Rhinolophus ferrumequinum: one gene and its partner. The protein of the gene in region 1 binds, or shares a complex with, the protein of each later gene. Links are inferred from orthologs where the notes say so. Each region holds a gene or a part of one and is shown on either strand. Other genes may lie near its edges.

The links. The genes of interacting proteins can lie anywhere in the genome.
Region 2: the proteins of ELMO1 (region 1) and RHOG are in contact, whole or in part, in a crystal structure (PDB 7Y4A), measured with the Homo sapiens proteins. The link is inferred for Rhinolophus ferrumequinum from reciprocal best matches to the Homo sapiens genes ELMO1 and RHOG. Residues at the interface, in NP_001193409.1 of Homo sapiens: Lys9, Val10, Ala11, Glu13, Tyr18, Pro19, Leu21, Met22, Ala54, Asn71, Gly72, Ile74; in NP_001656.2 of Homo sapiens: Val36, Phe37, Asp38, Trp56, Tyr64, Arg66, Leu67, Leu70, Ser71, Pro73, Gln74.

The regions. Positions count from the first base shown.
Region 1 is NC_046303.1:7,351,983-7,355,726, forward strand, and holds the start of ELMO1 (engulfment and cell motility protein 1), read left to right. Parts: upstream 1-1,389; 5' UTR 1,390-1,518; exon of another isoform or gene 1,519-1,706; intron 1,707-3,744. UniProt on the Homo sapiens protein: Involved in cytoskeletal rearrangements required for phagocytosis of apoptotic cells and cell motility. Acts in association with DOCK1 and CRK. Was initially proposed to be required in complex with DOCK1 to activate Rac Rho small GTPases.
Region 2 is NC_046294.1:47,346,940-47,350,683, forward strand, and holds the start of RHOG (rho-related GTP-binding protein RhoG), read left to right. Parts: upstream 1-830; 5' UTR 831-974; intron 975-1,493; exon of another isoform or gene 1,494-1,640; intron 1,641-3,744.

The sequences.
Region 1 (3,744 bases):
CATTATTTTTTTATAGATGAGAAAACAGAGAAGTTAAATTACTTTCCTGGAGTCATCCTGCTTTGTTATTATTGGCTTCTAATGATCTGGACCCAAGTATTCCTGCTACTAATACTTCCTCTCAAGGTTACACGTATAATAAGGGGTCAGATCAGGGCTGTTCATTAGAGTATAAGGTGAGCCACTAATGAGAGCCATATGTGTAATCTTACTTCTTCTAGTAGCCACATCCAAAACGTAAAAATAAACCAGTGAAATTATTTGAAGTTGCATATATATACTGTTAACCCAGTTGCATCTAAACTCTTATCATTTGCTGAGCTGATGTCATCAACACTAAACTCATGAACAACCTATTTTACATTCTGTTTTTCACACTAAGTCCCCTGTCTATTTTCCACTTACTGAACACCTCAGGACTAGTCACATTTCAAGTATACAGTAGCTGTTTGGATCTCTGCTCATGAACAGCTCGCACAGGACTACAATTTAAATCTCCTGGGGGTGGGGATTGAAATTTAAAGGGGAGCTCTGCCTTCCAACTTTGATTCTAAGGCCTCCCTGCCCCCAACTTACCTGGTTGCCAATTTGAATGGAATCCTCAGCAACTGCCTTTGCCTTTTCTGGTAGAGCCAATGTAGATATTTCTGAATTTGGAAAGGACAGGTGTTTCTCCTGCAACCTTCCAACAACTGTCATTTCCCTCTTGGCAGCTATGCTGGGAGAAGACGTGTTTGATTTCTGCTTTGAAAATGTCTGAGGTAGGTTGCATGAATTAAATAATGTACTCTAAATACCAATTTGGGGGTGGAACATCTTGTTTTATGCAAATTCAGGGAGGCCCTGGCGTAACTGATCAGGAATAAATCTTGTCGCCTGTACATGCCTTCGTGAGGGTTAGGGGAAGGCAGCATGATGTAGTTATTTTTGCCATGCTGCCCAAGGAGAGGGGTAGAACGTCAAAACAAACACACCAGCCTCTTAAAGGAGCTTTAAAACAACCCACCGAAGTTTCCCCTCAAAGTTCCAAACCAACTGCCAAAAATGAAGGTACGTAAAAAGATGCCAGGCGCTCTCGGTCTCCTTAAGGTGGCGCTCTGAGGGTGACGGAGTTAATTAGTGCCTGCAAAACGCCGCGTGTGAGCTCATCCGAGAAGTCCTGCTCTGTACACTGAGTATTTATGGCAGATCTGAGGCGGCCACGGTGTTTGACATTTTCTTTTTAAGTAAGGGGACTTCAAAAAGTCGTGGGCACTCGCCCCCACCCTTACCGCGCCCCAGGCAAAGTACCAGGCAGGCCCCAGGGCGCAGGCGGGCGGCGAACGCGCCAACCACGCTTGTCCAGGCGCAGGTGCCGGGGGCGGCGGCGGCCACTCCGCAGCGTCCGCTCCGGAGGAGAGTTCGCGGCTGATCTCTGGATGCCTCGCAGCTGCAAAACGTGTCTCTGGCCAGCAGGAGGAAGGAAGAGGAAGTGAGAGCAGCGGCAACCGGCGGAGCAGCAGCCTGCGGACCCGGAGTGTAAGTGCGTGTGCTCGGGCAAGCGCTAGCGGGCGAGGATGGGCACGGGATAGTCAGACCACCCACACCGCCGCGGCCCCGAGCAGGGCGACAGAGCCTCCGGGCCCCCTTCAATGGTCGCGGGTCGCCAGAGGTCTGTTCGCTGGGAACCTTCGCTGCCACTGCTGCTGTCCTGCGACCCCGGGCAGGTTCGTAAAGTTTCCTGAGCTGGCGCGGAGCCCCGGCTCGCTGACCTCGGCAGACCTGGGGGTGGGGTGGGGACGGAGGGATGGGGCTGGGGCAAGGAGGAGGCGTCCTGCTCCGGGGACTCTGGTCGCCTCGGAGACACTTTTGTTTCCTCCCTGGGGGCGCCGCGGCTCGGGCGGGGGTGGCCGCGGCGTAGTGCGGGGTGAAGGCTGCGGGCGCGACGGGGCGCTGGGCATTTGAGGAAGTCTGGGCAGAGGTGGATGGGGGGCTGGAATGGGAATGGGAGCGGAGGGAGGGGCCCCCGGGGATGGAGAGCGGGGCCTGGGGCCCGGGAACCCGGAGAGACGTTTCGTCCAGGGCCGGCTGGAGGGGGCCGCGGGAGGGCTGCGCTGCCGGCGACTGGGATTTGGGGCCACGGGGAGTGAGAGATTGGGGGCTTGCAGTCACTGGGGGCTGCGCGGGAGAAGGAACTGGCGGCTCGGACTCCCGGCATTTCTCGAGCACTGGCAGACGGGAGGGAATCCCCCAGCGAGCGCGTTCCTGGGAGGGGGCGGTGATGGGCTGGAGGGAGGGAGGGCCGAGAGGGACTGGAGCGGGTGGATGGGGCAGCTGGGAGTCCCGGGGGCCACTGTGAGCAAATACACGCCTCCCGGGACACGCCGAGGTCCCGGTTGGGACCGGCAAAAATGGTGGGGGGCTTCGATAGAAGATACCGGCATCAAAGAGGGGGCGCACCCGGCGCGCCTTCAGAGAAAGGGGGCAGCGAAGCTCGGGGGTCCCTAAAATCAGAGTGGAGAGGGGCGGCGGAGATGGCAGGAGTAGCTTTGAGGAAGAGGAAATACAGAACTCAGCCGACCCGGGGGTGCGCGCGTGTTTGGGGTTGGGAAGTCCGTGTTGTGCCGCGGGCGCGCGCGAGGGTGGTGAGAGGGGGTGTGTGTGTGTGTGTGTGTGTGTGTGTGTGTGTGTGTGTGTGACTTCAAGGGGCTTTGGAGCCAGGGACTCCCCGCCGAGTGACCCTTTCCCGCCTGGGGGCCCTTTGAAGTTGGAAGCTTCAAGCTGGGGTTGCTGGTGTTGGAAGCTGCGTTGACCTAAAGCCGCAGGGCTTGGCCCCCATAGTGACCCGGCTCTGGGCCTCTGGACAGCTCCTGAGACTCACGGAGTGTGTTTTGTGATGCCCTGTGCTCAGGGCACGGGCCTGCTAACACCGCTGTTCATGAATGATTTGGACCTAATTCGTTCTAGTTAAGGTTTATTTCAGAGAACCTAAGACAAGGGTTTGTGCCTCCCGGGGTGGAGGCCACAAGGTCCCCATTTAGGGCTGCCAGTGACTTGGGGGTGCGGTGGGGGGACAGTGGAACATTTTCTGAGTTTTTTTTTTTTTGTCCATAAAGTAAAAGGAATTAATGACCTGTATGTTTACAAAGTATACATACATGTAATGTATATACATACATGTAATGACCTGTTTTTATATAATGACCTGCATGTGGATATCAACTGTTTGAGGAGCTAGAGGGATTTACCCCCACTTTTAGATGGAAAAGACCTGGCTGGCAGCAGCTGTTATTAAGGACCTCTGGTCATGATTTTTCATATTATCTCACCTCCATACCCGCTTGCCAAGGTTGTTTCAAGGATTCCAGGCCCCCAGTTTACAGAACCGGGCATTGTGAGTTAGAAGGCCGGATCGCCTGCTGTCACCCAGCAGACTTTTCCCCTTAGAACTGACCTTTCACATCTGGGCTCTTTACTAGGTACATGTCCTATCTTTCCAGGGCTGTGGTTAAATGTGTATGTGACCTTTCCTACTCAATTTACTGCTCAGAAAAGACAGTCTTTAAATTAGACATACTGGTTGTCTTCTTGGGAACTTGTGAGGGAAAGACCTGGAGTGTTGCAGCTCTGTAGCGGGGGGGTGGTTTTGGGAGGGAAGGGAATGGGGGAAAAGCTTGGTAGGTGTCAGGGAGGGGCAGGCTGGGAGGCAAGCCCAGAACTGGGTCTGGTGGGACTGAGGGCCTGGAGTAGCCACTGGGCTATAGG
Region 2 (3,744 bases), on another chromosome or scaffold:
CACTGGGCTCTGCACGTGGTAGACGCTCAGAAAGTTTGTGCTGAACTGAGGATGCTCATTCTCAAGTCAGAGCTCCAAGAGCAACGCCGGGGAACAGAAGCACCAGAGGGCGCCCACGAGTCTGTCCACCCGCCTGTCCCCAGGGCCGCTGCAGGATCTCAGGCCTGGGTGCGGCCCTTCTGCCCCAGCAGTTGCGCGTTCGGGCGAGAAGAGGGGGCGAAGGGAGCCCAAGGTCCTCTGTCCGCCCCGCCCCCTCCCCAGAGCACAAGCGCGCGGAGTGGCCGGGTGCGGAACGACGACGCGACATCCTGTTTTTTGGGGCCCGCGGCTCCGCCTGCGCCTCTGCTGATCTTGTCTTTCCCCGGGTGCTGACGCCAGCTCCCCTTCCCCCAGTCTCCGCACTCTCCCCAGGGGTCTGGGGCCTTCCCACTGCTGAATCACCACCACCCCGCACTCCCTCGGGGTTCCGGGCAGGGGTGGGGACTGCCCCAGCCTGACCCATTCTGACCAACGCCGAGCCTTGGATATCGCTCGACTCCTGGGCTTGAAGACATCAAGACTTAGGGGCGCCTGTTCTCAGCATCTTCCCGCAGGGCTTGGTGGGGGCAAAAACGGGGAGGGGGACAAAAGCTTAGAACCTAGGCTAGGGCCTCTACCGGGCTGGGGGTGGCAAGGAGGAGACTGGGAGGACTGACCTTGGGAGGACTGACGTTAAGAGCCTCGGAGGGAGAGGGCTGGGGTCAGGGAGCCCAGGACCGGGCCGGGGGCGAGGCTGGGGGTGGAGAAGAGACAGAGGGTGGGGGGACCGGCCCCACGGACTTCCTGGTGCGGCCCCGCCCCGGCCCGCCCCCGCGCTCCGCCCCGGTCGCCGGGACCGCCCCCCCCACTTCCTCCGGCCTCCCGCTCTCACTTCCTTCTCGAGCCGCCTGCTGCTGCCGCCGCCCCCAGCTCCCCCGCGGCGGGGAGGGCTCCAGGTGAGGCCCGGCGCGGGCCGGCGGGCTGGGGGTCCCGGGGAAGGGAGCCCGGCCGGTCCGGGACTGGGCACGGGCGCCGGCCCAGGAAGTTTGCTTGCGGGAGGCCGCGGGCGGGAGGTTCTGGGCTCACTGCAAGTTGGGCGGGCGCGGCCGGGCGGGCGGGCGGGCGGGGCGGGGACCGAGCCACTGCGAGCCGGCGGCAGCTCCTGGAGGGTGGGTTCCTGTACCGTGGGCGGCTGTACCGGCTCCCTGGAGCCGCGGGGGGCCCCTGAGATCGGAGGTCTCGCGCCCAGAGAGAAAAGTCTCTGAAGTGGAAGGGTTTAGAGTTGGGATGTGGGACTCAGAGGTGGGGTGCCCTCAGAAGTTGGGGAGCTATTCTGCAGTGAGTGGGGTGGGAGGGCTGGGCTAGAGATGGCGCTCCCACTGGTCTGGCAGTTGTGACATTTGTGAGGTTGAGAGGGGGGCGGTGTCTGGCCTCTCGCCCTAGCCTGCAGAGGACGAGCTTCCTCACTGGAAGATCGGTACCAACCCAGAACCTGCTCGCAGGCTGCAGCCCAAGGGTCCTCTGCACTCAGGAGGGCGCGGGAGCCCCGCTGACCCCAATCTTTCTCTGTGTGCGTCTTTTTGCTGAGGCCCAACCTCTCCATCCATGGAACCAAGCAACAGGTATTTGGTGAGCAAATACCTGCTGTGCCTGGCTGAGGGGTGCCTGGCCTTGCTCTTTTGTGGGTAAACTGAGGAAGAGAAAGGGCCTGGTCTTGTCCTGTGACTAGAGTTGGAAGGACTCTCATTCAGAGGTACTGATAGTCCCTGACAAGATGGCATCACTGAGAGCAGCACTGTTTTCAGGAGATGGAGAGACTAATAGGGCTTGTGGGAGACAGCAGGGGTTCTGGCCTTGGGAAATGATTAGGAGCCGTCTCCTAGTTGACCTCTCGCCGGCCCGCACCCCTCATTGGCAGTCTCTAAATTCTATACATTCTCACTTTGTCTTCTTCCATTCCTTCTTCAGACTCTACCCACAAACCCTCCATCACCCACTTCTCGAATCTTTTTCAGTTTCTTTTCCCCCAAACACACAGTCATGCCAAGGCCCTGACCTCTCACCTACCCTGCCCTTCTGTCCGTCTCTGTCCCCTGCAGCCTACCCCCACGCCCTTCTTTGCTTAGCTTCTGTCTCCCACAGATGTATCTACCCTCTTGCTTCTTCCATCTCGCTTCATTCTTTTGATCCCTCTGTCTCCTTTCCTTTCAGCCACTTATCCCCAGCTTTGGCGTCAGGATCTTTGGTGAGTTTCAGAGCCTTTTCAAACCTCCCCAGCTCAGAGAGGCAGGCTGCAACCTCCCAGTAATAGAGATGATTAAAGGGCTAGAAAACCTCTCTGTATGTGTACGTGCGTGCGTCTTGTGTGTCGACATTTTTATCTCTTGGAGACAAAATAACTGCTCTCAGCCTTGAGAGGGCCCAGAGCAGGGGAAGCCAGCAGAATGAAGGGAACCTGCAGTGAGTGCGGTTGTGGGTAGGGTAGGAGGAAGCAGTCTGTGGTGGTCAGGGTAGAGTGGCACAGTAATAAGACTGTTGAGAGAGGCCGTGGGAAATCAAAATCACTCAGACCGTTGGGTGCTTGATCAAGAGGCCAGGCCTGGAGGCCAGAGGACAGCCCGAAGGCCCCTGACTCCAGTGCTTACTGGTTCCAGCACCGCCTGGTGGGGAGAATGGGACCAAGTTTGCTAGGTGTGACAGAAGGAAAGGGAGGAAGCAAAGGCAGGGTTCTGGAGAGAAGACTAGAGCTGTTCTAACTTCATTCTTACCTGTTTTAGTGCCAATTCAGGAAAAGAACAGGAGCGGGAAGCAAAGGTATCTGCCCCCTCTGCCCTTCTTGCTGCCCTCCGGGGCCTGCCCAGGCTGGGTACCTACGTGCCCTGGCTGCATCAGGGCTTTGGTGACAGTAATCCTCTGCAGTCTGCTGAGCCCTCTGCCTTCAGGATTCCTTAATATTCCCCCTCTTACCTAAGATCCTACTCCCTCTCTTATCAGGAATTTCTCCTGAGTCTAACTTTAGTCCAACTGGCTCTGTAAGCCCTTTCTAGGGCTCTTTCCTCAAGCCTTTGAGATGCATGTTGTGAGATCTTGCTTCTCTCTGTCTCCTCCAGTCTACTCTATTCATTTCCCTCCACTAGGAAAAAAAGGGGGGGAGGGCAGCAAGTGCTACTCTTTTGGGATTCCCAAGCACAGCTAGATTTAAGGGCTATTCCTGTTCCCCATTCTGTCCTCTTCCATTCACAGCTGCCCTCTCCCATGAACTGTCTCTTCGTCCACACACCAGTGTCTTCTACTCTCATTTCTGGGAGGTATAAGGGGTTTGGCCCTGAGAGGAAATCTCGGGGACCTACATTAAATCCTGCTCAGGGAAGGATGTGCCTGCAGGACCCCCTCCCAGCATCACGGCTCAGTAAAAAAACCACCCAGGAGTCCTGACTCCCGCCTTGCCGATGGGTACTTATTTTAGGATTCTGCATAACTGAGCAACCCACAGGTCTCTGGGGGTGAAGATAGGACGGATGAGATGGGTTCTCCCGGGCACAATCTGGTCCCACTGGAGGTTTGAGCTAATTGCAAGAAAATCATTGCTAGAAAAAATATGACCAGGGTAGGAGAGGTCTAAATGGGAAAATATCAGGGGCGGGGGGTGCCTGCAACCTAGGAGGCTGCTATTGAGTTCTTGGCTAAAGAAATAAAGCCAAAGTCCTGACATGAAAAGAAGTGGCT